Linked DNA regions of Saccharomyces cerevisiae S288C. The gene in region 2 interacts genetically with the main gene of each other region. Each region holds a gene or a part of one and is shown on either strand. Other genes may lie near its edges.

Region 1 (8,650 bases), on a different chromosome or scaffold from region 2:
AGGAATTATCATATGGATTACGTGGAAGAACAAAAAACTGGCGAGGACTGGATGAGTGTAATTTTTCTATATAAGTTAAAAAAGGGATTGACTTATAATAGTTATGGGATGAATGTGGCGAAATTGGCACGCCTGGACAAAGATATTATAAATCGGGCATTCAGTATTTCAGAAGAATTGCGGAAGGAATCCATTAACGAAGACGCGTTGAAATTATTCAGCTCTTTGAAAAGAATATTAAAAAGTGATAATATAACAGCAACGGATAAACTCGCGAAATTACTATCATTGGATATCCACTGATGCGGATGGTACGTATGTTCTAAATGCAGCATTATCAGACAATAAATGATATTATATTTTTCATTCACTTTCTCGTTTTTGAATTGTTCCTTTGTTTATTTGTTTACTTTTAAATAATTTTTTACATTTTTATCATAAGATAAATTGAGAGAAACAATACAGAAATTTGGCCATGGGTTTATCTTTCTGTAAACATGTTATAGTTCAGGTATGATGTCTTTAAAGAAACTTCTATGTGAGCTGTTATGCCTTGGCCTTGTACAAGTTGCTTTGTATAGAATTTTTCCGTAGGTATAATTTTCAGAGTAGGTTAAGATATTGTGATCTTTCTTCGTTAAACTCATAGAATTAAAATCATGGAATGGATCAGCCTCATCAATTTCATCATCGTTTGCAACTTTCTCACAGAACATTTTGGTTTCCTGTTCACTCACTGAGTTCCTTTTCGGGTGTTTATTGCAAGACAATATAAAAGGAAGTTCGCAGCCGTTATCATTTAATGCAGGTATTAGAGGGGGGTCTTGGTTTCTTAAGAACGACCACTGAACTTTTTTGAAGAAGGGATGTCTCTTTATGTCTGCAGCTCCTGATTTGGAACCAAGCCTTTTTGCCTCGTTTTTGTTTAGTAGTTTCTTTATCAGGTCTTTACAATTCTTCGAAACTTCCTTATCATGTGGAAATTTGACGTCCTTGGTTAAAATGTTAGAGAATGTTTCATTTGAATTATCTCCTTTAAATGGAGTACAGCCAAATAGCATCTCGTAAATCAATATTCCTAAAGTCCACCAGTCTACTGCTGCAGTGTGGCCATTCCCTCTGATTACTTCTGGAGCTAAATACTCTTCAGTACCAACAAAGGAATTAGTTCTGAATCCATCTGAACAAATTTTTGTATCTAAATACGTAGAGTCTTTCATGGTGGGTTTTTTTGATCCCGTTGCTTGGATGGATAAATCAAAGTCAGAAAGCATGACATGACCAGATTGATGCAGTAATATGTTTTCGGGTTTCAAATCTCTGTATATGAAGCCCAGTAGGTGTAAATATTCCAAAGCTGCTACTACTTCACTGGCGTAAAACTTCGCATCTTCTTCTGCAATGCATTTACTTTTTCTTGTTTGTAAGGCTCTAAAGAATTCCCCTCCCATGCAGTATTCCATACAGAGATACAAATAGTCTTTGGTTTGAAAGGAATGATACAGTGTCACAATAAATGGATGATCACTTGTCGCGAGAATTTCCTGTTCAGTGAGTACTCGTTTAATTTTCTTCCTCTTGATCATCTCATGTTTATTCAAAACTTTCAGGGCGAATATCTGGTTGGTATCGCGTTCCCTCACTAAATACACTTTACCTACGTCACCTTGGCCAAGTAGTCTAATTTTTTCGAAGGATTGAGGTTCGACAGTAATGTCTTGGAACTTGTTACCGAATGACTTGGTTCTTAAACGACGAGATCTCCTCGGTTCTACAATATCTCCCAAGCTTGGAGGTTGTTTCAAGGCAATGTAATCTTCCCGCATTAACCCATCCTTTGCCGTATTGAACGGTTCGGAAGCGGCCCTCCTTAAACGTGGTGTTATGTTCATAGGTATTTGATCCTTTCTGGTTTCGCTATTTTTCCTTGGGGAATCAATTGGTGAATTGGATAATGACAAGTTAGCCAGGGGGGAGGCACTGCCATTTTCGCTGATTTTTCTATGGAAATTTTGGAGCTCTTCATTTTCGTTAATATCATTCAAAGATCCATTACTCAGGTTTCTACTGTCCTTTGCTATATAACTTGGGGAGCTAGGAGTGTGGAAGGATGACGGGTCTGTGGGCATGTCAAAGGTAAATAACTCCGCGTCCGGAGAAGAGCTACCTGAGATCTCATTAGGTGTGGAGCATATCGCCTCATTGGGTATAAGTGTGCTACTTGTAGTACTATGGACATTTGGCTCACCGATAATGGAACTTTGTAACAGCTCTGTATGTATCGTCGACCGGGGTTCACGCTTATGCGTACCTTTTTCTGAAGTTGACGCATCTGTAGTACCACTGCTCTTTGATCTGTTATGATTAAACATTGATTTGAACTTGTTAAGTTTGGAGCTTGACCAGCTATCGTTGCATTCTACATGCAGGGGAAACGGTATGGGAAGATCTTGCTTGTTTCCATTACAAGCCATATTAATTTGTGAGCTTGGGCTTGCGGACAACGAACAAGAATTGACGTTCAAACAATTGACATTGATGTTTTTGCCAGGAGGTGCATTGTTTTGCAGAGATCTCAAATTACGAGCAAATATTTTGGGTAGCGACATGCTCCTCCCCTTGGATAAGCGTTGTGAGGGGGAACGGTATTCTTGCTGAGTCATGTGTACCAACACTGTTGAACCTTGTTTGCAGTAATCCTTAGGGCACTCAATGAATTCTTGTACGTTTCAAACATACTATAATTAAAGAAGAAGAACTTTCTCTAAAAAAACTGGGGTTATTATGTCTTATGTTACTCCTTGAACAATATAGCTGAAAGAGGGAAAAAGGAAAGTATATTTCCGAAAAAGGATGCCGAAGACGGCGCTATCATAATTATGTGTTTGAGAGGCAGTTCACGGTTACATTCTAGTTCTTCTAGCGTCTGTTGTAGTATGAAAAGTACTTTATTGAATGTCCTTGACATGTTTTCCCAGGATCCAACTTAATGCTCCTCGCACTCATGCATGGGTCGGCCACACTGGAGATAATGATATTTATCTTGATATTCTTTGAAGAGTTGAAGAGCCAGCAGGAGTTTTGGAAGGATGTGACATTCTTAGTGGTTTTGATTTTTTTTTTTCAGTTCTGGCTTGTTCTTTTGTTTCATTGATGACGAAGGATTCGTTGAAGTTGAATGCACACAAAAAAAGCTTGATAACTAGTAATATTTTCTTGGCAGTCACATATATGGAAGGTGAATTTAGAGTAGTTTCCTTATAGCCTAGCGGGCTATTACCTTGTAAATACCACACTATCAATCCTTAAATGTATTGCTAATTGGCTATTAACCTAGATGTTTAGCTATTTATTATCTGTTGTTCGCTTAGCTAGGTACTGCTTTTTATGTTGTATTTTATCGAGAAGTTTAGTGTCGCCAGTTATAAAAAAAAAATTTAAACGTAAAGAAAGGTTATCGACAAATTAACGCAATATTACATGCCCTTTTCACCGTATCATGGTATACACTGGTGCATTAGTAGTAGCATACCTTTGAAAATAAAATGAATAACACTGTGAAGACGTAATGGTGTGTTTAGGCTTCACCATGACCAATTGTAGTATAATTTGCAATTTTATCACTAGGATTGTCACTAGCACATTAAATATATATATTTATATTGGTCCTTATTTTTATGAATTTTTTTTAATCTTAGAATTACGGAGCGTTTATGGCTTCATTGACCAAATAAAATGATTGGGCTGAAAGTTTTGAAATATTTCCATGATTCACTGCGGATGCATCCTATTTACAACAGACAGAAGGAACTGACGTGTTTTTCGTGAATGAATTAGATATATATGTGAAATTATGTTTTTTGTTGTTTGAATTTTTGATTTCGAATTGGATTATTATTCTTTGTTTATCTCATCACTAATTACTTACTGCAAATGTACTTTGCCATAAAAAACTAAAAGATTGATCCTTTTATGCTCAAGCTTTGCTACTATAAGATAATTTAGATGATCTTGGCAGTAAATTTTTTTTTTTTTTTTTTTCAAATTTAGTTCTTCGTTGCCTACATTTTCTTAATTTTGTTTCCATTGCTTGTATCAAAAACTTATGAAATTACAAGCGTCAAGAAGCTGTTTATAAGAAGTAATGAAAAATTTTGAATAAAGACAACTTAACCAATAAAGAAAACCAGGTTGTGTACGATAATGCCGTTATTTTTGGTTCTGAAAGCAACATTATCAGAAAACGTGACCAAGGTTTCAATTGAGAATACAAACGAATCAAGGGCAGAATTTGCCTTCGATCTACAATGTACCAGTTGTAGAGAATTACACGATTCTAAAGTCATCATCAATACATTTGAAGAATATGCTATGCCGGCATCAAAAGGTACCGCATCTTTCTTGATGAAGTGTAAATTTTGTTCAAAAGAATTGTCAGTTAACCTGTGCGCTTTTGAGGATGAATATTTAACTGATCAGAGTGACGACAAATGGGCCAAGATAAAAGATGTGCGGAAGAAGCATGGTTTATCGAAGGTCAAAGAAGATTCTTTCATTCCTTTAAGCCTTGATTGCAGAGGTTGTGAATTAATCAAATTTTATCCCGACACCATAACGTTTGAAGTTTCTCTAAGTTCGGGGAAAGTAATGTCATGCCAACTAGAGGATAATGAATGGTATGATTATGATGACAACCTTGGGGAAGAAGTAACAATGACTGATTTCTCATCAAGCATTATTAAAGGTAAGTAAAAAGAGTGTCTGTTTATAGCATATATACGTACATATAATATATACGGGAAATTAAATGAAGTTGATCACCATTACCATTATCATAAAGAACTTACTACAGAGAAATTTTGACGCCGAACCAGCATACGTACTGACAATGGGTGTAGTAATCCAAGTTGAGGATGCAGCAGCAACAAAAGAAGTAGCAATCCCACTGGAGGAAAGTCGTTGCTCGACATAGGTCGTAGTTGTTGGCTTTGGTGCTGAAGTTATGGCCACTTTTGTTCTCGTTATTATCGTCGTTACTGATGGAATTACAGTTTGGCTGGAACTTGTTATGGTTATCAGTTCTCCATTAGTATCACTGGATGTATATGTAACTGGCTTCACTGTAGTAATTGATATAGTGGATTCAGTTGAATGCACTTCCACTGATGTTGTTGTTATGGCACTTGGGGTAATGACAGACGTCATCGTGACGTATTGAGAATTTAGCTCACTTGTAGCGGAAGCTTGGCATCCTTCTCCACTACATGCAGATATTGTAGCGCTTGATTTATACGTTTCGGATACTTTACACGAGTAACCATCACAGCTGCTAGATGTGGTTTTCTGGCACTCAGATCCAGTACATGTCATAGTATCAGTAACCGTAGATGGAGGAGTAGTGGCAGTTGAAGTCACATCGTCACAGTTGGATCCATTACAGATAGTGGATACCTCCTGTTGGCATTGTGAGTCTGTGCAAGTTAGTGTTGCGATGGAAGTAGTTGGTTGTAGAACAGAAACAGTGTCAACAGTTGGTGATATAGAAAGAGATGGCAACGATGCCAATGATGATGATGATGATGATGATGATGAAAACTGAGACATCAAAATAGACGACGAGACTGGCGATAACGACAATGATGATTTAGAGGACAATGGTAGAGAAGACGCTATGAAAGTGGAGGAAGATACTGCTGTTGCTGTTGGAAGTGTTGATGACGTAAAAGCGGGAGATGGTAAAGAAGTGGATAACAACGAAGTTGATGATGGCGAAGATGCTGATATAGAGCTAGATGATGGTAATAACGGGACAGAGGTGTGTGTTGACGTTAGTGTTGATGCAGTTGTTGTTGAGAATGATGATGATGATGATGTAGAAACAGAGGGGGAATATGCTAACGTTGAAGCAGGTGAGGATGATTGTGTTGGCACATCTTGCGTACATTCAGTACCTGAGCATACTCCTTTCGACAAATATCCAGATGAAGATTCTGATTCTGTTGAAGTGCTCAAAGAAATAGAAGTAGATGTTGCAGATGAAGCGGAAGTAATTCTAACTTTGGCTGTCGAGGAAGTTTGAGTAGTAGCACCTAAAGTCGATTTACTTGTTAATGGACACCAAGTCGTGTATACAGTCTTCAAACCACTTATGGTGGTGGTAGCAGTAGATAATGTATATTGAATAGAGGTCTGAGATAAAGATGAGGATGGTTTTGACGACGAAACAAACCTGTCAACACTGCGGGAAGATTGAGAAGAAGCAGCTACAGTAGATTTTTCTGCCAATGGACACCAAGTTGTGTACACAGTTTTGATTCCGTTGATTGTTGTAGTAGCTGTAGATAGTGAATATTGGGAAGGTGTAGAAGAAGAAGGTAAAGAGTACCCCGAAGAGAAGTTGTATGGAGAGGTAGTACTACTGGGCTTTTCATTTGTTGATATGACATTAGAAGAAGAGGACATTATTGTATTAGTTAAAACGGTATTTGACCATTGAGAGACAGATGTGGTGGAGCGTTTTTCTGAACTTGTGAATGCCAAAGGCAAACTTTGCGTACTGACAGAAAAGGTGGACATTTCTGAGGAGGCTTCTAAGGAACTTTTTTTGGTGGAGGCTAAAGAGGAACTTGACGTTGAAGAAGTTAAGTATGGAAAAGGAGTACTTCTCATTTGCACAGATGTAATAACAGTCGGTGTGCAAATCGAATTAGAACATACTTCGGTACTCATAGTTACGGTTTGATGGGATGACAATGTCACCTCTACTGCCTCCGTTTGTAGAGTTTGAGAAGAATGTCCATTAGAAGGCGTGCCTTTCGAAGTAACAACCTCGGTAATGACTGTTGGGACACATTTGGAATGGGAACATACCTCTGTACTAATAATTAGGGTTTTTCGGGAAACCACAGTAGTATTTATCATTTCAGTAGACAAAGCCGGGAAAAGTAAGCTTCCAGTAGTGGTAAAGTTTTGAGTACCGAGAGTGCTAATAGTTTCGGAAGCAGTAGAAACCTGGGATGTGGTTGAACTCTCGCTAGCAGTGGCCGTCGCAGAAGTAGCAGACACTTGAGTGCTAGTACTAGTAGCTTCGGAAGTAGCAGAAACTTGGGTATTAATAGTTACTTCAGAAGCAGCGGGATTTTTTGCACCTTCGGATACTGTAGAAGATAATACCGTAGAGCTAGAGGTTGATAAAAGGGGGATTGTAGAGCTTGTTGCAGTAACACTGGTAATAACCGTTGGAGTACACTCAGAATGAGAGCAGACTTCAGTGGTCAAAACTAATGTTTTATATGATATGGATGTCGTATAAGCAATACTTGATGCCGGGCACCACGTTGTGTATTCCGTAGCAGCACCGTTCACCGTTGTTGTGACAGTAGAAAGCACAAGCGTTTGCATTCCGCTGGTCTTTAATTGCGTAGTCGTCAATGAATAGTCTTTATTTGACGAAGTTTTGTGAATATTAGATATAACTGCGATGGTTTCGGTTGAATTTGAAGTAAAATCAGTGAGTGAGTTCACACTAGAGCTCACATGTTGGCTGGCTTCTGTTGGGTTAGATACACTAGTAGATGGATACTTGCTGGTCGATCCAAATGTAACGGTAGAGTTAGTAATGGTCGCCGTAGAGCCTTCTGAAGATGAAAAATTTGGATAAGAAGATAAGGAAGACGCAAGATTAACTTCACTGGTGCACAAATAAAAACTATCCGATGTGCCACTAAAATAGGTGGGCTCTGTGATTGAAGTACTTTCGGTCATGAGATGGGTGTTTATAGTTTCAGTCCCCTTAAATGTGGCATCAGACAATTGTAAGGTCGATATCCCCAATGTTAATATTGAAGATGGTTTAGAGGTTTGTGTGGCGCTAATCGTGGATGAACTGATCCCAATTGCTTGTGATTTGGTTTGTGTTAGAGGACACCATGTAACATATTCGGTGATCACCCCGTCAACCGTTTTGGTGGCCGTAGAAACATAAGCCGGGGATGTGGTTGACGTTACAGACCCTTGTGTATTAGTTGTGTTGATGACAACCCAAGTGGTTTGTGACAGCGGAAGAGAAGAGCTTGACCAGTCCTGGTATTGTGAACTTCCGCTTGCAGTTGATTCAGGAACGTTGTTCGAGGCAGCAAGAGTGCTGGAATTGGAGCTCAAAATAGAACTACCGCTAAATGAGGAGGCTTGTGGAACGCTAGAAATGGACGAACTGACCCCAATTGCTTGTGATTTGGTTTGTGTTAGAGGACACCATGTAACATATTCGGTGATCACCCCGTCAACCGTTTTGGTGGCCGTAGAAACATAAGCCGGGGATGTGGTTGACGTTACAGACCCTTGTGTATTAGTTGTGTTGATGACAACCCAAGTGGTTTGTGACAGCGGAAGAGAAGAGCTTGACCAGTCCTGGTATTGTGAACTTCCACTTGCAGTTGATTCAGGAACATAGTTCGAGTTCCCTTGTGTACTAAAATTGGCGGTTGAAATTCCCACAAAGCTAGATGCTGTAGAACCCACTGAACTAATGGGGTCTATTAGAGAAGTAGCCGAATCTGTACCAAATGGTGTGGAAGCAATAGAAGCAGTGAAATTAACTGTTTCACTTTTTGAGGCCCGATTTAAACTCGACAATTGTGTAGATGAATAT
Region 2 (7,848 bases):
AATGTATCGAAATTGTACCCTGTCTTTGCACTTACGGCCACATACGGCAGACCCTGTAACTCCGCCGGTATAGTCACTTCCCCTGAATGCTCTTCGCAGACTAAATCGTACTTATTGCCCACGATAATTACCTGCGTTCCCTGAGCACGGTCCTGTAAATCTTGAAACCATGTCTTTGCACATTGCAGACTGGATACGTCTCCCAATTCGAATACAATCAAAGCAATATTCGCATCTCGATAATACATTGGCACCAGTGATTTATACCGTTCCTGACCCGCCGTGTCCCATATCTCCATATGGATACGTTTCTCCGTAGAGGAGTCGTTAGAAGGAACCTCGATTGTCTTGGTGATGAACGCCGCACCTATCGTAGCCGCATGTTTTGCTAGAAACTTACCTGATTTGAGCCTAGTCACTATACTGGTTTTCCCCACTGATGAATCTCCTAGCAGTACCACTTTGATGGTTGCTTCCATATCGTATTCCTCCGTATTTTGTGCTACTTGTATTTCCTGGAGTAATTTTACTATCATTGTTCCTTAACGTGAAACGTAAGGCTAAAAAACAATAAACGACAAAAAAAAAACAAAAAAATGAAAAATGCAGAGGAGTTTCTCTGCATTTACTGGAAGCGATTAAATAAGATTGCCTCAAGAAAAGAAGTTATCGGTATAATCTTTTGTAGGTAATGAAGTTTACGTTAGAAGACCAAGTTGTGTTGATCACTGGTGGTTCACAAGGTCTTGGAAAGGAATTCGCCAAAAAATATTATAATGAGGCTGAAAACACAAAGATTATTATCGTCAGTAGGTCAGAGGCTAGACTGCTGGACACATGCAACGAAATTAGGATTGAAGCTCACCTGAGAAGGGAAACCACTGACGAGGGCCAAGTGCAACATAAGTTGGCTGCGCCCTTGGACCTTGAGCAACGGTTATTTTACTACCCATGCGACTTGTCCTGCTACGAATCCGTGGAATGTTTGTTCAATGCCCTGAGAGACTTGGATTTACTCCCTACACAAACGTTATGCTGTGCAGGGGGGGCTGTTCCTAAGTTATTTCGTGGGCTAAGCGGACATGAGTTGAACTTGGGTATGGACATCAACTATAAAACAACTTTGAACGTGGCACATCAGATTGCCCTTGCAGAGCAAACCAAGGAACACCACCTCATCATCTTTTCTAGTGCCACCGCGCTTTACCCATTTGTGGGCTATTCCCAGTATGCGCCTGCAAAAGCTGCAATCAAATCACTGGTAGCAATCTTAAGACAAGAACTGACGAACTTCCGTATCAGTTGTGTTTATCCTGGTAATTTTGAAAGCGAAGGTTTCACTGTAGAGCAGCTAACGAAACCCGAAATTACAAAGTTGATCGAAGGCCCCTCAGACGCTATCCCATGCAAACAAGCATGTGATATCATTGCCAAGTCGCTGGCCAGAGGTGATGATGACGTTTTTACAGATTTTGTCGGATGGATGATAATGGGGATGGACCTTGGGCTCACCGCAAAGAAAAGCCGCTTTGTTCCGTTGCAATGGATTTTTGGTGTCCTATCAAACATTCTGGTCGTGCCATTCTACATGGTTGGCTGTTCCTGGTATATCAGGAAATGGTTTCGTGAAAATGACGGCAAGAAGGCCAACTGAGAGCACATCCACTCTCATTCCCGATATTCCCCGTGACTCTCTTTATTTCTTTCAAGACAAACCCTAGTGGTGTAGCTATTTGTACATGTATAAGTATATACGAAATATTAATTATAACATTATTACCACGGCGATATTTTCCTATTTTTATTCTCTTTTCTTACTATATTTTGAAAGTTTTTCTTATGGGTACCGATGCGATGAGGTGAAAAAAATTTTCCTCTTTCCACTTTTAGTACAGGTTATGAGATGCTTCTCATTAGAAGTCAAGAAGAGAGCATATCAGTAACAATACGATGAGTAGCAGTGGTGTTTATACGTGTAATTCATGTGTCCTGACCTTTGATTCAAGCGACGAGCAGCGGGCCCACATGAAGTCCGATTGGCATCGCTACAATTTGAAAAGACGTGTTGCACAATTGCCACCAATATCATTTGAGACATTTGACTCCAAAGTGTCTGCAGCTGCTGCCAGTACTAGTAAGTCTGCTGAAAAGGAGAAACCTGTTACCAAAAAGGAGTTGAAAAGAAGGGAAAAGCAAGCATTGCTCGAAAAGAAAAAGAAACTGTTGGAAATTGCCAGGGCTAATATGCTTGAAAACATGCAAAAGAGCCAAGAGGGAAATACTCCCGACCTAAGCAAGCTCTCTTTGCAAGAAAATGAGGAGAACAAGGAAAAGGAAGAACCTAAGAAGGAGGAGCCTGAACAGTTGACCGAGGAAGAAATGGCGGAAAGAGTAATGCAAGAAAAGCTACGCAACAGAGTCGATATTCCACTGGAACAATGTCTATTTTGTGAGCACAATAAGCACTTCAAAGATGTTGAAGAAAACCTGGAACACATGTTTAGGACCCACGGGTTTTATATCCCAGAACAGAAATATCTAGTCGACAAGATCGGCTTGGTAAAATACATGTCGGAGAAGATTGGTCTTGGGAACATTTGTATTGTTTGTAATTACCAGGGGAGAACGTTGACCGCTGTAAGACAGCACATGTTGGCAAAGAGACACTGTAAAATTCCCTACGAAAGCGAGGATGAAAGGTTGGAGATATCTGAATTCTACGATTTTACAAGCTCATACGCAAACTTTAATAGCAACACAACACCAGACAACGAAGATGACTGGGAAGACGTGGGCAGCGACGAAGCCGGAAGCGACGACGAAGATCTGCCACAAGAGTACTTATATAACGATGGTATAGAGCTGCATCTACCGACAGGCATCAAAGTTGGCCACAGGTCCTTGCAAAGATACTACAAGCAAGACTTAAAGCCCGAGGTGATACTGACCGAAGGCCAAGGTACCCTGGTCGCTGCAGAGACGAGATCGTTCTTACCTGCCTTCGACAAAAAGGGCGTGCAGACTCAACAGCGTGTTTGGCAAACTGAGAGGTTCGACAAGAAAAGGCTCGATAAGAGAAGTGCCAAGTTCGTCAATAACCAACCACACTACAGAGACCAACTTCTGCAGTAATTCTTTTTGCACTACTTTTTTTAGTATTTTGTCGCATATATACTGCTTCACCATTTGTACATTAGATAATTCTTCACTACCCCCTCTATAGCAATGTTATAGTCATTGAATCATGCTTTGAAATGCCTGTTCTAATATTCTCTTCATATAATAAATGCGTGATGCCGGGTATTTGTGCGCCCTTGTTTGGCGCAAAAATCTCGAAAGTGAAAAAACTAATAGGCTTCTTAAAGCAGTTATATCTACAGCAAAGGAAATAGCTGCTGAAGACTGAAGATGTTGGCGCGCAGTTTGGGTTACAGGTTGATATCGACCAGTCGTATCTTATATAATAAACCCACGGTTAAGTCAGTGGTGTCGTCGTGTCCTGCGGGAACATCGCTTAACTTAAACATATGGAAGAGCGGTAAAGACGCAGTGGCACTCGAGGACAAGGAGTATCCAAATTGGTTATGGAGCGTATTGGATAGTGATCACGTTGTCGAACATGCGGCTGAGGACCCAGAGGGACAGGCTCTCTTAAAGAGAAGAAAGAACATAAGGAAGGCGAACAGGCAGCGAATCAAGCAAAACAATTTCTTGAGCCAACTTTAAGCCTCCGTTAATAAGATCAAGTTTGGTATCCTTGTAAATAAATATGTGTGTACGTGGTTAAATAGTATGTTTTTAGCATAATGCCTTATTTTGTACCAACAAAAACATGATAGTTCCCACATATCTTTTCGCCTGGGGAATACCAAGTGGGACAAACAAAACGTTAAAAATTAAATCCTTTAGAGTACCACAAATTCGCAAGAAACAAGATAGTTGAATTGTCAATCATGGCTAAGATAAGTATGAATGTGCCCAGTGTAAAGATCAAAAACATGCCAAAGGTAAGGTTAAAAAGCACTAGAAAGACTGTCTCCACGAAAAACATGCGAAATAGGTTCAATTCATACTCGAAAAGAATTCGAAGGACGCTCACAAGAAAGAGATTTTAGGCAAACATGAAACGTATGCATTTCATAACACACACATATATATATTATATATTCAAAATAAAGCATAACAACATACATATTGAAAAGTAAATTGAACGTTACGCAGTTTCATCAAATAAGAATAGTATTATTAAAAATTGGCCGGACCAAATATCTAGAAATCCGTTACTCTTCCGTTAAACGAATAATCGCCGTGTCTCAACGGGTCCTGCTTGGGACCCCCAACTTCACCAGTCTTGGGGTTAACATCACCTTCGAATTCAGGTATGGTCTTGGAAAATTCAGGCGAGAATGACCCAATATCGTTTTTGGTTAAAAGCGGTGAATTCAAACTCTCCTTTGTACGATCGCCGGTGGCCTGCGCATTATACTGATCTATTGCCTCTTGCGATGTGGCAATCCTCTGAAGTCTTTCGAACTCTTCCTGCTCTTCTCTTGGCAGCTTGGGAGGGCCGGGGATCCTTTCAGTAGTTATTTTTCGGGTGGCCATATTAAATGGTCGTCCACGTAGTAGATTTAAGGCTCCCGTGCGAGGATACCGATAACCTGTGCTTTTGATGGCGCACAACATTAGTTCTTCTTTTTATTATTTGGTTCTTTCTGACTCTTTAGCAAGTTAATATGATCTGCACTTTCCCCATTGGCCCCTTTATAGGGCGGAAAAGAGCATCTGTTTTTCCGGATTCTTGGAACAAGAAAAAGGAAATACACCTATCTATATGCCACTATTGTATATTACTAAATAAAATATTTAATTATATACTCATGCGTATGCCCTCAAGAAGTTCACCAATAATTCTTTGGTTTCTGCTGTTACCTTTTATGGTATTCAGGATCCCAAAACACTGCAGCAGCGTCAGTTTATCTTCCTCTGTGACGCCGTTCTGTTCTTCCTCGCTGAAAATATATCTTTGAAAACTCTTACTGGCACCGTCATTTGTATGTAGGAAGCTTTCGTAATACGGAAGAATGATGGAGTCTCTAAAACACTTTAATAAAAGGACATCAATTGACGGTGCGTACCTTGAAGGTTCAGATAGATATCCGTCAAGCCAGTAGTTACTATTTTTTTGGAAGCTTTTCTCGAAGGGCAGTAACACTGCCATCATGTCGTAGTAAACCTGTTGGTAAAACACCTTCCAGATTATGCCGACTCTTTTCAAAGCCGTATTTACGGTATCCTCATTGGCATAATTGAACACAATCTGGTTCTCTAAAATGTAAAGTGAAGTGGTAATGAATTCCTCGATTTCGGCCAAAAACCTTGAGTGCGTTACGGCAGCCTTGGTTTGTGTTTTCAAAGTGATATAAAATTCCAGCAGCCGGTCAATATCTTCTATTTTTGCTGGCAATTGCCATACCCTCTTGTTTTTAAATAGCTCCACAACTATGCTGCAGTATATACCCCAGATATTCCCCTCCAGAACAAATAACTCCTGTACGGTGAAGCTTTTATAGTTTGCTATCAAGGATGGCAAGTTTTTCAGTAAATCATGTAGTAAAGAAACATTAGTCGCGTCGAAAGCATCATCTTGGATCAGCGATAGAGCTGTATCATTAGGGTTGTTGTTAATGCTAGGGTTAAAGGAATATACAGATTTTCCAGAGTCAATAAGGCCTCCAGTAGAAGTATGGATAAACTGTACGGGTGACCTATGTTTACCATATGAAGAATGCAGAAATTTACTGAATGGGCTGGGAACTACGGGTTCAACGTCGTCTTTACCAATGGAATTATGCGGCTTGTAGGGTAAAAGCTTTTTTGCCATTTTGCTAAAGACATTACTGCCTTTGTTTGAATGAGAATGTCCTGTAGACAGTGAAGATTGTAAACTGTTCACACTCATATTAGATTTCGTATGAAACAATTTAGAGCCACTCCTACTTATGTTGTTACTACTTGTGCCGGTAATAACAGTGCCGTAGTTTTTTGACCCGCTCCTGCTTCGATTTCTCATATTATCTTTTGAATTGGTGAAGATGGACAGTCGCCTTTTATTGCCCCTTGAGTTGGAAGAAAATAAACTATCATTAGACGTGGTGTTCCCCTCCATTCGGTTACTACTTGATGAACCTATTTCGGAGTGACCATCGTTATTCTCCGTGCCTTGGCTGTACTCCTCTTCAATCGAATCCGTCGAGCGCCTTGCATTGGAACCATCATGGAATATAGATTGAAACCCCACCTGTGACCATCTAGGAGCGGCATCATGAGGAGATTTGGATGTTTTTAGATGCACATCTTCGTCGGGATGTGTCAGCGCTTGCGGTACTATATCAGAAGAAACACTATAAACTCTAGCTGGTTTGCGATTAGTTGCTTTTATGTTCGGGTTCGTGACGCTCAGTGAGCCTGAGGTAGCACTTCTTTTACGATTTAGGTCTGTTGCCATTGCTTGACTCTGTAGTTTAAGACTCGCCTAGCCACTTATGCTTATTGTGGTTTGTATTTTTTATTTACTGTCTTCTATCTTTCTCCCTTTAATTTTGACCTTATTTTAAAGCCCGCAAAGATCGCTGAAAAATTGCTAGTAAAGGTCGCATGCAAAATGGATAAAGTGCTCTTGTCAAATTATTTCAACACCTTCATTCGCAGTATAGTGGTATATTGGATTGGGTAAAGGAAAACAGGCGACACCAATATTGGTTTAAGCTAGTAGCGTATGCAGCTCTATCCAGGCATTAAAATTGGTTCACCTATTTCTGATAGTAGTTTTTTTTTTTCCAATCGTAAATTTTTTCTTCAATTTCGCGATGAGCTACAAAATAATAGTAGTGCAATCTGTATATTACTTTTCAAGTATCTAACTCATGCAAGTTAGGAGTTCCATAGCGGATATTTCACTATGTTTGATCCTCTCGATTTGTACACCCCTGATGACATCCAGGTTGAGGCTTTACAGTTCAATCTAGCAGAGAGAGAGCCAAAAGATCCTTGCTCACCGCAACGTGACGAAATATTAACGGCTGTAGATGAAGAAGAGAGTGACGACGATGACACCATTATCGATAATCTGGATCTGCCCTCCGTGAAGTATGCTCCGCCAGAAGTTATCCTTTGTATACTAATACTTCTGAAGCCCGATAGACAAGTAAACTTCAATCAGGAGACAGGGAAGAACAAATCTGTACTGGAGGTTTGCAAGAGTCATGGGCTGGAACCCGATCTGCTGAAAAGACTTTTGACTTGGTATACAGAAGAATGGCCTAACAAGAGGTTAAACTCGTTGGAAAAGATATGCAATAAAATCCCAATGCTGAGATTTACAGTATCCAAAGAACTACTGTTGGGCTACTATACTAGTGTATTGAAAAAATACAATAATAGTTGCGGATTGAATGAGGAAATCATACAAGAACTTCTTAAGGAATTGAGCTCAAGGATATCCGAAAACTGTGGGAGAACGGCCCAACCATCCATAGTAAGATATTTTGAATTAAGAAATCTAAGCACTTCCATACCGCTTCATGAACCCTCTTTAACGGCCGATAATCTTGGTTGGAAAACATGGGGATCATCTTTAATACTTTCACAATTAGTCGTAGATCACCTGGATTACCTACATACCACTAATGTGAACATGTTAGCGAACAGCGACATCAAACAGATTAAAGTATTAGAATTAGGAGCGGGCACTGGTTTAGTAGGACTTTCATGGGCCTTAAAATGGAAAGAACTTTATGGAACTGAAAATATAGAAATCTTCGTGACGGATTTACCCGAGATTGTGAC
Region 3 (4,532 bases), on a different chromosome or scaffold from region 2:
TGACACAGCTGACGAGCTGGAAAGCTCTGCTATCTTAAAGATGAGGGAGTCTGATGCATCTTTAAATGTTACCACCGGCAATAATACATCAAGGAAAACGACTTCCAATTCCAAAAAACGATGGTCTCTATTATCCAATCATTCTGCTGTTTCATCATCTAAATCTAAGAAAAGATGGTCTGTACTTTCTTCAAGCTTTACCAGTGAATCTCATAAGGACAGGGAATCGAGGAACGTTTTGCAACAAAAAAGAAAATCCTTGCAGAGTTATTCAAGCTTAGATACGGTAGCATCTAATAGCTCTATCTCTGCTTCTTCTTCTTTGAAAAGATCGTCCACTGGTCTTTCCCTCAGACAATTGTTTACCAAGATAGGCATAAACGATGATATATCACAACCTGGGATCGGGATTCCGCAAGGTAAGGAAAATCTGCCTCCAACTATGGGCAAAAAAAATTCATCAATTGCTTCCACTAGTTCGGAAAACAGACTTAGGACACCATTGAAGCCGCTTGTTAATCATTCTAAAAGGCCCACTTCACAACCACAACAGCAACAACCACTATATAATGCATCATTGTCCTCGAGAAGATCGTCGATTTCTTCCACTGTCTCTTCTTCCAGCTCGTCTAAATGGAGATTCTGGAAGAGAAATAAGAACCAGACACCTGCATTGTTGCAACCAGACCACCATTCTTTAAAAACCTTTCCTGCAGTAAACCGTCGTGATTCCATGACGCCCGTTGAACCAAGAAATATGGTAAAACATAAGACATCCTTTTCAGATTTCCATAAGACTATCTTCAGTTCAAATACGTATTCTGAAAGCAGCGATACAATATCTTCCATGGAAATTACTTTGAAAAACAAAGCTTCTTCCTCAAGTCTATCTTTGAACGTGTTGAAGAAAAGGAATTCGCAATCAAGTTTGAAGCACAAAAGTTCACATGCATCCTTACAAAAATTCAAAAGAAACAAAGGAAAGTCCTCCATGATAGCACCATCGACAGCAACTAATAGCAGCAATGATGACTCTTGTAGCTACAGTTCCAAAAATTCTACGTTGAGTCACCGAATATCGTTACCTGTACCGGACCAAGTTTCCCGTGATAAAATTCAGAACAAATTAAGATATTCGACCTCATTACTCTCATTAAATTCTAAATCATCTTTACCGATGAACAAAAATGATCATGATGAGACACTTCTAAGACAGATTTTACTAAATTGTGATATAAAGAGAATTTTAAACCCCGCAAAAGGAGATGTATTGCCTTTAATCAACGATGTAAACCATTTGTCATCAATACAATTAACATCAAATGTTTGGCAAATTGGTGAAGTAATCTGTAAAAAAGTTTCTCTCGGTACTATTGATGACATTACATGGGATAGAAAGTTCTTATCTTTGCAGGAACTGGAAAAACTCAAAATCATGCAACAAAAATTTGATGGCATACCGCAACTATTGAAAAGTTTTGTTGTTAAAGAGGCAAATGGGGGGTTGTATTTGTACTTACTATTCAAAGATCACGGTACCCCAATTTCGTTAATCTCACTGAAAAACTGGAAGCAGATTCTAAAGATTTTTTGGTCTTGTGCTGGTATAATTCATGGGTTGGAAAAAAATTTGAAATTTGAACATCGTAATCTTACTTTGGATAATATTTTGATAGATGGTAATGGGAATATAACAATTATTGATTTTAAATGCAGTAGATTGCAAACTCCTCAAGATGATGTTTTATATCTACGGCTAGATCATCCACTCTTTTTTCTAAATGGGAAAGACAAGAGTAAAATAAACGAATACCAGTATCAATTTGAGTTTGAAATCTATCAAAGTATGCGGATCTTGTTGAACATGGACGCGTCAGCTTTTGAGCCCATGACAAATTTGTATTGGTTATATTACCTGTCACGCGTTTTACTAAAGTTTGGTGACAGGAAGCTTGGTAAGAATGATGCAAACAGGGATAAAATGGCAAGGGTGATAAACCATTTGGAAATGAACTTGGCAGTTCATAAAAGAGGGGGGCAGTTATTCAAAAGATTGGAGACGGAGGACATTAAGAATACTGGAGATTTACTAAAACTTTATAAATAAAACAAATAGGAATGTTGACATTTATATTTCATTTTCTTTCTATTGTATACTCCAATACATAAACATATTATATATACGTACATAATGTAATAACACTAATCTAAAATAATGGCATCGTCGACAGCATCCAAGGCTTTCTCCTCTTGAGTCTCCACAGATGCAGGTGCTTCCATTTTGGGAGTCAAAAACAATTGCTTAACGATAAATTCCACGCCGTTGATGACATTCATCAATGCCCAAACCCAGATTCCCAAAGAGACACTCTGTAAAGCCATATCATCAAACTTGGAAGCACCAAATTTGCCCTCCATTATATGCCATTTCTGAGAAATAGTCCTTAGAGGATGCAAGAGAACATATAACCAGCCTTGAGACCAAACACCACTTACAAACGTAGGGAACAAGGTGCTAGTCGAGGAACTCAACTTGTAAACTGGTGTCTTGCCGTACATAATCTTAAACACAAAAAATGGCACCGTCAATGCCAATAACCTGAGTTTGTGAAGATGGGCCTGAAAGGCTTTATTTTCTGATTGTATTTCGTCCTTCAAGTTATTTATTTCTTTATCTAACGAGTCCAATTTTCTATTGTTCTTAGTCCATTTGGCATAATTATCCTGCGCGGAGATAGAGTTGTTGAATTCTTTTAATTCGTGACGTTCTTTGACCTTGGCTAAGTATTTTTTGGATAATTCATTTCCTGGTGCAAATTTAGAGATCCATTTCTCGTGGTATTTGTTTGTATACTGTAGAAACTTTGTGACCACAATAAAGAATATCGCTACCGCTGCTGCCCAATGCATTTCTCCTATTTCAATCAACTAGACGTAGTTCAAGGATTGCAAACTGTCCTGCTTTCTTTTATCTGGTCTTTTTATCCCGAGGTATTGTTGTATATACCACTACTCTGTGATTTTTTTTCACTCTTGGGAAGGAAAGAAAAAGTGAAAACATCAACTGGTAAGTGTCTAATGACAAAAACAGGAGGTAGTTGGTACGTGCAAAACACGATAGTGACGTTAATCCGAATCTGTAAATTGGTGAATTGGTATTTAGAAGCGACCATTAGCTAAAAGAGAGAGAAAACTATGTCGCAAGAGTTTGTGGAAGACTATTCACGTACAGGGTCCTCAGACGACGAGGATAGTGGAGCTTATGACGAGTGGATTCCATCGTTCTGTTCCAGATTTGGTCACGAGTACTTCTGCCAAGTCCCGACAGAGTTTATCGAGGATGATTTCAATATGACCTCGTTATCCCAAGAGGTACCCCACTACCGGAAAGCTCTGGATTTGATATTGGATTTGGAGGCTATGAGTGATGAAGAAGAGGACGAAGACGACGTGGTGGAAGAAGACGAAGTGGATCAAGAGATGCAGAGTAATGACGGTCATGATGAAGGCAAAAGGAGAAACAAGTCGCCAGTGGTGAACAAGAGTATTATCGAGCACGCAGCAGAACAGTTATACGGATTGATACATGCAAGATTTATTCTGACCAAGCCAGGCCTGCAAGCAATGGCTGAAAAATTCGACCACAAGGAATTTGGAACGTGCCCCCGTTACTATTGTAATGGCATGCAGTTGCTGCCTTGTGGGTTGAGCGATACAGTTGGGAAACACACCGTAAGGTTGTACTGTCCCAGTTGTCAGGACTTGTATCTTCCCCAATCATCTAGATTCCTGTGCTTAGAAGGTGCATTTTGGGGGACAAGCTTCCCTGGTGTGTTCTTGAAACATTTCAAAGAATTGGAAGAGTATGTGGAAAGGAAAAGTAAAGAGTCCTACGAGTTGAAAGTTTTTGGGTTCAGGATAAATGATGAGGCAGTATCTGGTCCTAGAATGAAGTGGTTGAGACAATATCCATCCACGGAGGAGGACTGGGAAGAATTTGCCAAATGCGAGTTCGAGACACCGGCGGTTTAACCCTTGATTTATTTTCCTCTTTGCCCTACCATATACATATGTACTTTACCTATTTACATTGTTTCAGTTTTTATATCACCACTATTATTATTATTACTATTACCACTTTGGAGTACTTTAGTGATTCATTTCCAATTGTTTTCCTGGAGCCCAGTCTTTGAATGCCTTGGCCAAGTTGTACCAGTACTTTAGCTCCACGGTCAACTTCACTGCGGCGGCGTAATCCTTGTCATTGTAGCATTGTCCCAACTGGGCTTCAATATCTTGAATTCTTTCCTTGTTTTGCTTTTCAAGCAGCTTCACACCAGCTTCGTCGTCCATCTGGGATAATTCATCATGGATGTCTAGAACTTTCAATAGTAACTGTGGATCACTGGTAGTTACTTCATTTGAGGTCTGTTCTTGCGTCAAATCGATATTGCGCAAGAGTTTTAGCATATATTGTGACCTTCTAAGGGGATCTTTGAGAGTATGGTAAGCTTGATTAAGAGTTGATGACT
Region 4 (7,875 bases), on a different chromosome or scaffold from region 2:
TACTTTCAACATTCCAGGTGGTAGCAGTGGAATATATAATGAATTAGAGTCGGTTGATTCCGGTCCCTCAATGCGTACGGTTGAAGTCCAAGCAGATAACAATTTTCCTGCCTCATCATTATTTACAGCGCCACAACTTTCTAAAAATACGGTCAAAAATGTGATATCTCTTGCCATTAGATTAAATTTTGAAATGTTGGAATCCAATGGTGAACTAACGTGCTGTTGCGCTTATTTCTTACTGTTTGTTTTCCTTCCATTTTTTATATTTGGTATAACCGCTGAAGGTTATAGAAATTAGCTCTTTAAGAGAAAAAGGCGAAAAAATTAGTGTAAAAGTGAATTATACTACAGAAAAAAAAACTATACTAAAACACAGATAGGTAAGTCATATGTCACATTTCTACTCGCTTGTACCCTCCAATTAATTCCTGTAGGGGAAAATTGGAAATTGTAAAGAGAAAGATGAAAGAAAGAACGAAGCAATTCCGGACGGCAAATCATTCTTTGTTTCCAAGAACTTGCTTAACAGGTTCGGTTTGGTCCACATATAGTCTATGTTCTTGGATATACCTGATGACCGAATTAGGTAACAAATATTGTACAGACATGGCGCGTCTGATAAATAGACGAACTTTCGTGGAAGAAATATCATTATAGATGAGTTGCTTGATGATAAGAATATTCCTTCTATGTTCATACATAATATCATGGGATAACAAAAAAGACCTTACATCAGAACCAGTACGTTCGACAATCAAACAACCGTAATTACCGAGAATGTGATGTAAATCGGCGTCCGCCCAAACGTTTGGTTCACCCATTGACTCTATTAGGTCACCACCAGCCAGCAACATTATTTTCACACCAATTTTTTCTCCAGTAACAGTAGCTACACCACCTCTCTTAATATTGATTTCGTGATTGAAATGATCCAAGACCTTGGCAGTTCTTGTGTATGAAGGTTGCAATGACTCCCATGCATCCACCATCAACCAAGATGAGGTTCTTTCGCAGGCCAATTCACACATACGTACTCTATGGTAGGATGGGGCCAAGCCTTGCTTTTGATAGTTATCACTAACAGGGGAGTAATATCCACCTATGACTTCAAACCTTGTTTGTTCAGAGATTGCATCTAAAGCCATTTCAAACATTCTTAGATGCAAGTAGGTGATTGGTGAAAAAGACCCACATGCTACTATTACTAACGGCAGTTTATTTGGATCCAGTAATTTTTTCGATAATCTGTGTGAGGGGAATTCGTAGTCTTCCAAGGTTCTTGCTTGACGAACGATTCCATGTGGAACTTCTTCTAAATCAGCAATCTGATATTTCTGAACACCTCTAGTTTCTGATTCTGTGGTTGAATCTGAACCGTATCTCTCCTTGGATCTAAAATCCGCGTCATCATCTTCGGAAGACACTTCTGCGGAAAGTGGTTGAAAGTCGTCTTGGTTCAATGGAATATGCTGATGTTTTTTATCATTGCCTTCTTTACGACTGTGATGATGGTGATGATGATGCTTAGGATGCTTTTTCTTCCTCTTAATATTAAAAGGTGCATCTATAGAGGAATTCGCATCGGCTAAGACGTATGGAATAATTGGAATAGATTTGGGAATTTTAGATTCCGGGTCGGGTGGAGGAATCAATTCCTCGTCTGCAGATGGCGGTTTGAAATCCGGAGCTCTTGTGGGATCCATGTTTCCTTTTTTTTTTTCTATCCCTGGTATAAGTAATTGACGCAACAGTTTTTTTTTCCCTTCCAAATTTTTCTAATTTGTTATACCATGCAGATACAATAAATGTTGATGAAATTCTAAATTAGGTGAAGAAATTCCTTTCTGCAAAAAATGAAATGAATTACTGACTCTATTAACTATGAGAAAGCGTACCTACAGAAAAAACAACGGTATCCCATTGTGAAATGGGGGGAAACTAAAAAGATATGGATAGCGAATCTTCGAGCAATAAAGTTCGTAAATCTTTGTAGGTGTTCTATCCTACGTAAGCGGATGCAGCGCAATTCCAGCCGTCTTCATCGTCATTTTTCACCCGGTAGAGGCAAAAACAGCGAGTGCTAAAAAAAAAACCGGATTTTTTTACGCCGAATGCGGGAATTTTTATCCGCTTTTGTCATGGAGTAAAGAAATTAAAAAAAGCGTCACAGACAGGATTCGAACCTGCGCAGGTAAAACCCAATGCCTAATTGCTTTTCTGAGGAAATAGCAGGCATCGCCTTAACCACTCGGCCACTGGGACGGTTGAACAACGATCTAAAAATGAATCGTTATATTGTCCAAATTTTGTGTCACATCAAATGCCCATTTGCGCATTCCTATATCCTCGAGGGAGAACTTCTAGTATATTTTGTACCCCTAATATTAACACCGAATCGACAATGAAATAAACGGAATAGCGCAATTTCTGCAAATTTTTACAGTTCATCAACAAGATACATATCTTTCATGACAGCTCCTAAAACGACTCTCATGAATGGTAGTACACCTCACGAAAAAGCGTACCAAAACCGCACACAATAAACGGACTCGAACTGTTATGATCTCGTATTTTCTTGTGCCCCGGGTCTTACTTCGTCGTGAGGGTGGATGAGCCATCACAATGGGCATTTAGCGTTTTGGTGCAAGAGCGGGAAGAGGGGCGGCAGTTGGTTGCAATACCAAAAGCAAGTGACTCACTACGGTCCGATATTATCTTGCCCTTTCCATTCTCATACGTATGTTTTTTTAGATTATGCACCTTCTTTGCCACAGTAAATGTGGCGGGGAAGATGTTGAGCTAGCGCCGTGCACAGTGGAAGAGACGGAGGCGATTGTGGGGTTTCATCGGATTGTGCGGGAAGAAGGCCTACACCGTGTTGAGCCACCCCCCCCTCAGGAGTAAATTTACACAAACAGTGGTGGTGCCTATGGTGGTATACGAGATAGTGATAGAAGCTGCTGGATTGGGGTAGAAATTTTGTAGGCGTTTATGGATATGGTATGGATATGGTATGGCTTGAGGTAGGTAATCCAGACACCACTGGAAATATATATAAGGAGAGAGTTCTGGCAGGTAGATTTGTACTCCTCTCTACCACTTTCTTCTACTCCTTTTATTATGTAATGTTTATTATAAGCACAGCAAAAACGTTAAATAAATCTAATAAGATTTCATTATAACATAACATTAAAGCACACAAATTTCTAACACAAACACAATTCAAACATGACCAGAACTAGCAAATGGACAGTCCACGAAGCAAAGTCTAACCCAAAGTATTTCACCCATAACGGCAACTTTGGGGAGTCTCCCAACCACGTCAAGAGAGGAGGCTATGGGAAAGGCAATTGGGGCAAGCCTGGCGATGAGATTAATGACTTAATCGATTCTGGCGAAATTAAGACAGTCTTCAACAAGACCAGAAGGGGCTCTAACTCCCAAAACAATGAAAGAAGGCTTTCTGATTTGCAACAATACCACATCTAACCGACCCGACCGGTTTGATTCCGTTAGCATATTTCAAAGAAACGGGCCTTTTAATGATTTAACGACCATATAACTTCAATAACGTGTATGCATATATAAAATGATCATGTCAAACATCCTTTATATTACTTCTTAAATACATGTTTACGATAAAAAATAAAATTTACATTATAAGTTTTTGATTGCCCATATTTGTTGATAAGAATGTAGCCTTACCGTGGCCGGTTTGTTCACCTGTAACCTCTTTGGGGGCGACCGTTAGTACTGCGCGTGTATGCTGGTGCAGGTGGAGCTGTCACAGGCGGTCTGTTATACATTTTACTATTATTTCTGTTTCCATTCACATTTTTGTTGCCACCAACTACTGGAGGTGCAGTATTGGCATTGGAATGTTTCTCATTTTCTTCTTTTTGATGCATGAGCTCCGCTTGCTTTCTTTCCAATGCCCTTTTTCCAACAAAATTGTAAACTATAGCTGCGTTTCTCGTGGAACATGCGTGCAACCATGCAAAAACACTTCCCAGAATAGGAACTAAACTAATAAGTAAATCGATAACGATATTACCATGCATCTTCACCTTGATTTCCGCAGGCAATTTATACCTGTCATCTGCCAATTCAATCAACTTATCATGCACCCAATACATCAATAAGGGTCCTATAACCGGTAGAAGTGCAAGTAATGGTGCCCATCCTATAGTGTTTGTCCAGCAACAGCATCCGCACAGTGATTTGTCATGCAGCCAGGCTTTGTTTTGGACCTTTTTCCACGCTTTACTTTCATCCTTAGTGCAATAATATGGCAGTCTGCGGCGGTGCTTTTTACCATCTTTATTCGTTTCATAAAACGGATCCCTGGTTGGCTGGAAATGCTGTTCTGCGAACTCTTGATATTGATCTTCTAAGTAATCTTGGCCTAGACCAAGCAACGTGCTCTTAATGAACCCTGACATTTGATATGGTTTCCCCCTTATTTTACTTGATGATATTGCTCCCAGCAGATCCAAGATTTATTTTCAAGTGCTCTTGTCTCACGTATACTACGACTTCTATGAAACAAATATATGAGTAGGGAACTGAACAAAAAAGCAAATTCTTCCAATGCTCTCTAGCTCGCAGTCATGTTATGATCTCATAATCACGTCCCATTCCCGGCTTCTACGCATTTTTCCACGTATTAGCGCGATTTAAAAAAAGAAAATAGAAACAAATAGCAATAAACAAAAAGAAAAGTAACGCTATTACATCCACATGTCACAACTACTTTGTGAAGTTGCAATGCGTGATTAGTATTATAAAACATCATAGCCTTGCCAAATAAACTCGCTTCCCAGAAAAGACGCCAAATTAACTGCCGCTGTTATGTGACAAAACAGGGCATCTCACATATTCGCGTACTGGTGTTCTTTTAGCTCATTCCGATATTATTCCAAGACGGAATTTTCATCTAGAGAAAATGCATCCGTGCATTTTCATAAACCCACACAATTAAAATGCCTTGCGAAAAGGAGGACTCGTCCGTGCAACTGTTGAAAAAAATAGACGGAGCATCATACGTTCGAGTGGAAAATTATGGAGAGTTTTCCAAGCTCTATGGCATGTAGAGTCGTGATTGCTGCTGTACGCTTTTGCACAATATTGAATCTTCAATCTAAAGAATTAAATTTTCTAATTTCAATGTAGAAATATTTCAACTGTTAGTTTTTTATTTCAGGTTGAATATAGTACGACAAAATATCAAGGAAAAATGGCTAGAGAAATCACCGACATCAAACAATTTTTGGAATTGACCAGAAGAGCTGACGTTAAGACCGCCACTGTTAAGATTAACAAAAAATTGAACAAGGCCGGTAAGCCATTCAGACAAACCAAGTTCAAGGTTAGAGGCTCTTCTTCTTTGTACACTTTGGTTATCAACGATGCTGGTAAGGCTAAGAAATTGATCCAATCTTTGCCACCAACTTTGAAGGTTAACAGATTATAAGAAAAATAAGGAATGATCGGAGTGTTATCATAACGAGACTGGAACAAAAAAAACTAAGAATACTTTCCCATCCGCATAAAGAATAATATCCATTTGTGTTCGTTATACAGGAAGTAGAAATAGGCTTTATAACTTTTTTTGTTTTTGTTTCCTTTTGTTTTTCTTACTACTCATAAACATATTTTTTAATTTTTAAAGTCATAACGTTGTATAGTTAATAAAAAAAATTGGATTACTATTCATTGAAGAAGAGAGTTCTATACGTTCTTTTTTAAGTTTATTTAAAGGGAGTTACCATTTGTGTAATAAAGTAAATTAGAGATTATATTATGTAAAGGTAAAAACGGGAGCGAGCATCATACGGCCTTCTTGCTATCGCGACCAATGGTTGGATTTGATTGCTCTTTCTCTTCAGTATCATCTAATACTTTTGCCAGTCGATCTCTTGCCCTAGATTTTAAAACTTCTTCATCGGTCGAGGAAATTCTTTCAAACTCGCCTTCGTTGATGTTTGATGCTTCGGCAAATTCTTTTGTCTCTTCTGTTGTAGGCTCTCCTACTTTTTTCGCATTATCTTTCTCTTGCTTGTTGCTCCCAAGCTCTTGCTCAGCGGTTAAACCATTCGTGCTGTTTTCTTCAACCTTTTGTTCAATGGCAGAATTTCTATTCGAATTTATCACGCTTTCATCAAAGTCAGAAGTTTTGACCAATTCTGCGGTTCTTACCCATCTTCTTCTTCTTGTATATTTAGAAAAGGAATCTTCTTTACTTGGTTTTTTCCAGGTATTGTCGTAATATATAAATCCCTCGTCAGGGGAGGGATCTGCGGAAGTTCTTGCCTTTGAATTGGGCACTTGAATGGCACCGTCATTAGTCATGTCTAGCCTCCATGTCTTGTCGACCCATCTCCAAACCATAGTGTTAGTCTCTTCAGGTAGATGGAAGTTTTCAGGAGAGGGAGCCTCATTCAAAAATTCATCGGTCCATGGAGTCCTCTCATAACTCAACATACTAGGCTTCCATCCAATACCTAACCAACGACGCTGGTTCTCGTACAAAACATAAGTAAAACGGATAGGCTTGGAATCGGATAATACGCCATTACTGTTTTCTGTTGATGCCAACTTTTTCACTTGCTTCTGCACTGTAGCAAAAATACCCTGGTCCTTATTTATTCCACCAAGGTCTAAACCCGTGACGTAGAAAACAAGCAGCCTGACAATCTTAAACTTCCATAAAAGCCTTCTTGCTACTTTAGACCATGGTGAGTGATACGTTAAAAGGAACATGCCCACCATCAGCATCAAGCTTCTCGGTGGTAAAAGTAGCCAGGTTATCATCACGTATATTGGAGATAATATGACCGTAGTATATAGAAGCCGTTGAATATCTTGCGTTCCAAGGTTAACCATGGGGGAGAGCAAAATATCTGACTTCAAGGATACTCTGTTCATTAAGAGAGCAATATCTTCTAATGTTGGTGAGGAGCTCAACGTACCCTCAATATAATTGTCCAATAGGGAATAACCCCACAAAATAGCAATGATGGCAAGATGTCCAAAGTACTTCACCAGCGTTTCAAAATACTCAACGGTAGTAATAAAGAGACACAGCATCAAAACACTGCTCCAAATATTCTTTCCTGTCCATGTAACAACGTTTAGGAATTCGTCAATGAGAATTAAATAAGGGTACAATTTCACCAACGCCTTTGAGATTGTGGGCGGTGTTGATGTCAAAAGCGGCGAAGTAGCTACGTTAACTTTCTCCAATGACCCGTTATCATTATCCTCAGACACCCCGCTTTCAGCTTCGTTCTTTTCCAAAGCAGCTCGTATCACTTTTGTAGTATTGCCACCAATCCTCGGTTGCAGCGTCTCTGCAAACTTGGCTCTAGTCTCATGCACGTTAGTTGTGTTACCACTCATTGAAAATCAGTTTTTACACTCCGGAGGATCAACTAGACAGCTCGAATCCTAAATTGCAACCTTGCATGCCCACTTTACCTCAGTAGCGAACGTATCCAAGTATATATTTTGTGAAGCTGATCCAAAAACCCTTTAGTCCTCTTCCCGCTTCTTTCCGTGCAACCGGAGAATAATAAGAAAAAGCCATGCGCATCTCTATCTGAAGTGGACTCAAGCTAAAGCCATCGAAAGCTCCATCACTTAATCAAAGCTCCAGGTATTCATGTTCAGAAAGAGATTAGTGAACAAAAGCTCTTCTGATGAAAAGAACCAGAAAAAGAGGCAGAAAATTAATTTTAGCGAAGAGAAACTAGTGGCCAGCGATGAAGAAAAGGGTTCCAGTGACCTCATGAGCTTAGCCAAGAGTGGAAATAGCAGGACACTTCAACTTTCACATGAGAATGAAGGTAAACTACAGAAAAAGGGTGAGGA

What was found.
Region 1: mutations in REI1 (region 2) and KIN82 together harm fitness more than expected from each alone (negative genetic interaction), as found in Saccharomyces cerevisiae (4 studies listed by BioGRID).
Region 3: mutations in REI1 (region 2) and CKB1 together harm fitness more than expected from each alone (negative genetic interaction), as found in Saccharomyces cerevisiae (3 studies listed by BioGRID, with this or other methods).
Region 4: mutations in REI1 (region 2) and NMA1 together harm fitness more than expected from each alone (negative genetic interaction), as found in Saccharomyces cerevisiae (2 studies listed by BioGRID).

What each region holds. Positions count from the first base shown.
Region 1 is NC_001135.5:268,417-277,066, reverse strand, and holds KIN82 (putative serine/threonine protein kinase KIN82), read right to left. Parts: upstream 2,664-8,650; coding exon 501-2,663; downstream 1-500. Other genes in the region: mismatch repair protein MSH3, read left to right, coding at 1-303; YCR090C (uncharacterized protein), read left to right, coding at 4,204-4,752; FIG2 (Fig2p), read right to left, coding at 4,804-8,650. UniProt on the Saccharomyces cerevisiae protein: Flippase activator that phosphorylates DFN1 and DFN2 and which is involved in the generation of phospholipid asymmetry in membranes by the inward translocation of phospholipids.
Region 2 is NC_001134.8:737,891-745,738, forward strand, and holds REI1 (Rei1p), read left to right. Parts: upstream 1-1,950; coding exon 1,951-3,132; downstream 3,133-7,848. Other genes in the region: Rab family GTPase YPT10, read right to left, coding at 1-479; TSC10 (3-dehydrosphinganine reductase), read left to right, coding at 692-1,654; SLM6 (Slm6p), read right to left, coding at 2,046-2,498; mitochondrial 54S ribosomal protein mL54 MRPL37, read left to right, coding at 3,409-3,726; SDH8 (Sdh8p), read right to left, coding at 4,270-4,686; BIT2 (Bit2p), read right to left, coding at 4,871-6,508; EFM2 (S-adenosylmethionine-dependent methyltransferase), read left to right, coding at 6,962-7,848. UniProt on the Saccharomyces cerevisiae protein: Pre-60S-associated factor involved in the cytoplasmic maturation of the 60S subunit. Involved in the dissociation and recycling of other late pre-60S factors like ARX1, TIF6 and ALB1 before newly synthesized large ribosomal subunits enter translation.
Region 3 is NC_001139.9:454,961-459,492, forward strand, and holds CKB1 (casein kinase 2 regulatory subunit CKB1), read left to right. Parts: upstream 1-3,195; coding exon 3,196-4,032; downstream 4,033-4,532. Other genes in the region: protein kinase ALK1, read left to right, coding at 1-2,107; GET complex subunit GET1, read right to left, coding at 2,203-2,910; J-type chaperone JAC1, read right to left, coding at 4,150-4,532. UniProt on the Saccharomyces cerevisiae protein: Regulatory subunit of casein kinase II/CK2.
Region 4 is NC_001144.5:778,744-786,618, reverse strand, and holds NMA1 (nicotinamide-nucleotide adenylyltransferase NMA1), read right to left. Parts: upstream 1,707-7,875; coding exon 501-1,706; downstream 1-500. Other genes in the region: REC102 (Rec102p), read right to left, coding at 4-177; TMA10 (Tma10p), read left to right, coding at 3,232-3,492; YLR326W (uncharacterized protein), read right to left, coding at 3,723-4,445; 60S ribosomal protein eL38 RPL38, read left to right, coding at 5,240-5,476; PEX30 (peroxisome biogenesis protein), read right to left, coding at 5,833-7,404; U2-type spliceosomal complex subunit CWC24, read left to right, coding at 7,667-7,875. UniProt on the Saccharomyces cerevisiae protein: Catalyzes the formation of NAD(+) from nicotinamide mononucleotide (NMN) and ATP. Can also use the deamidated form; nicotinic acid mononucleotide (NaMN) as substrate to form deamido-NAD(+) (NaAD).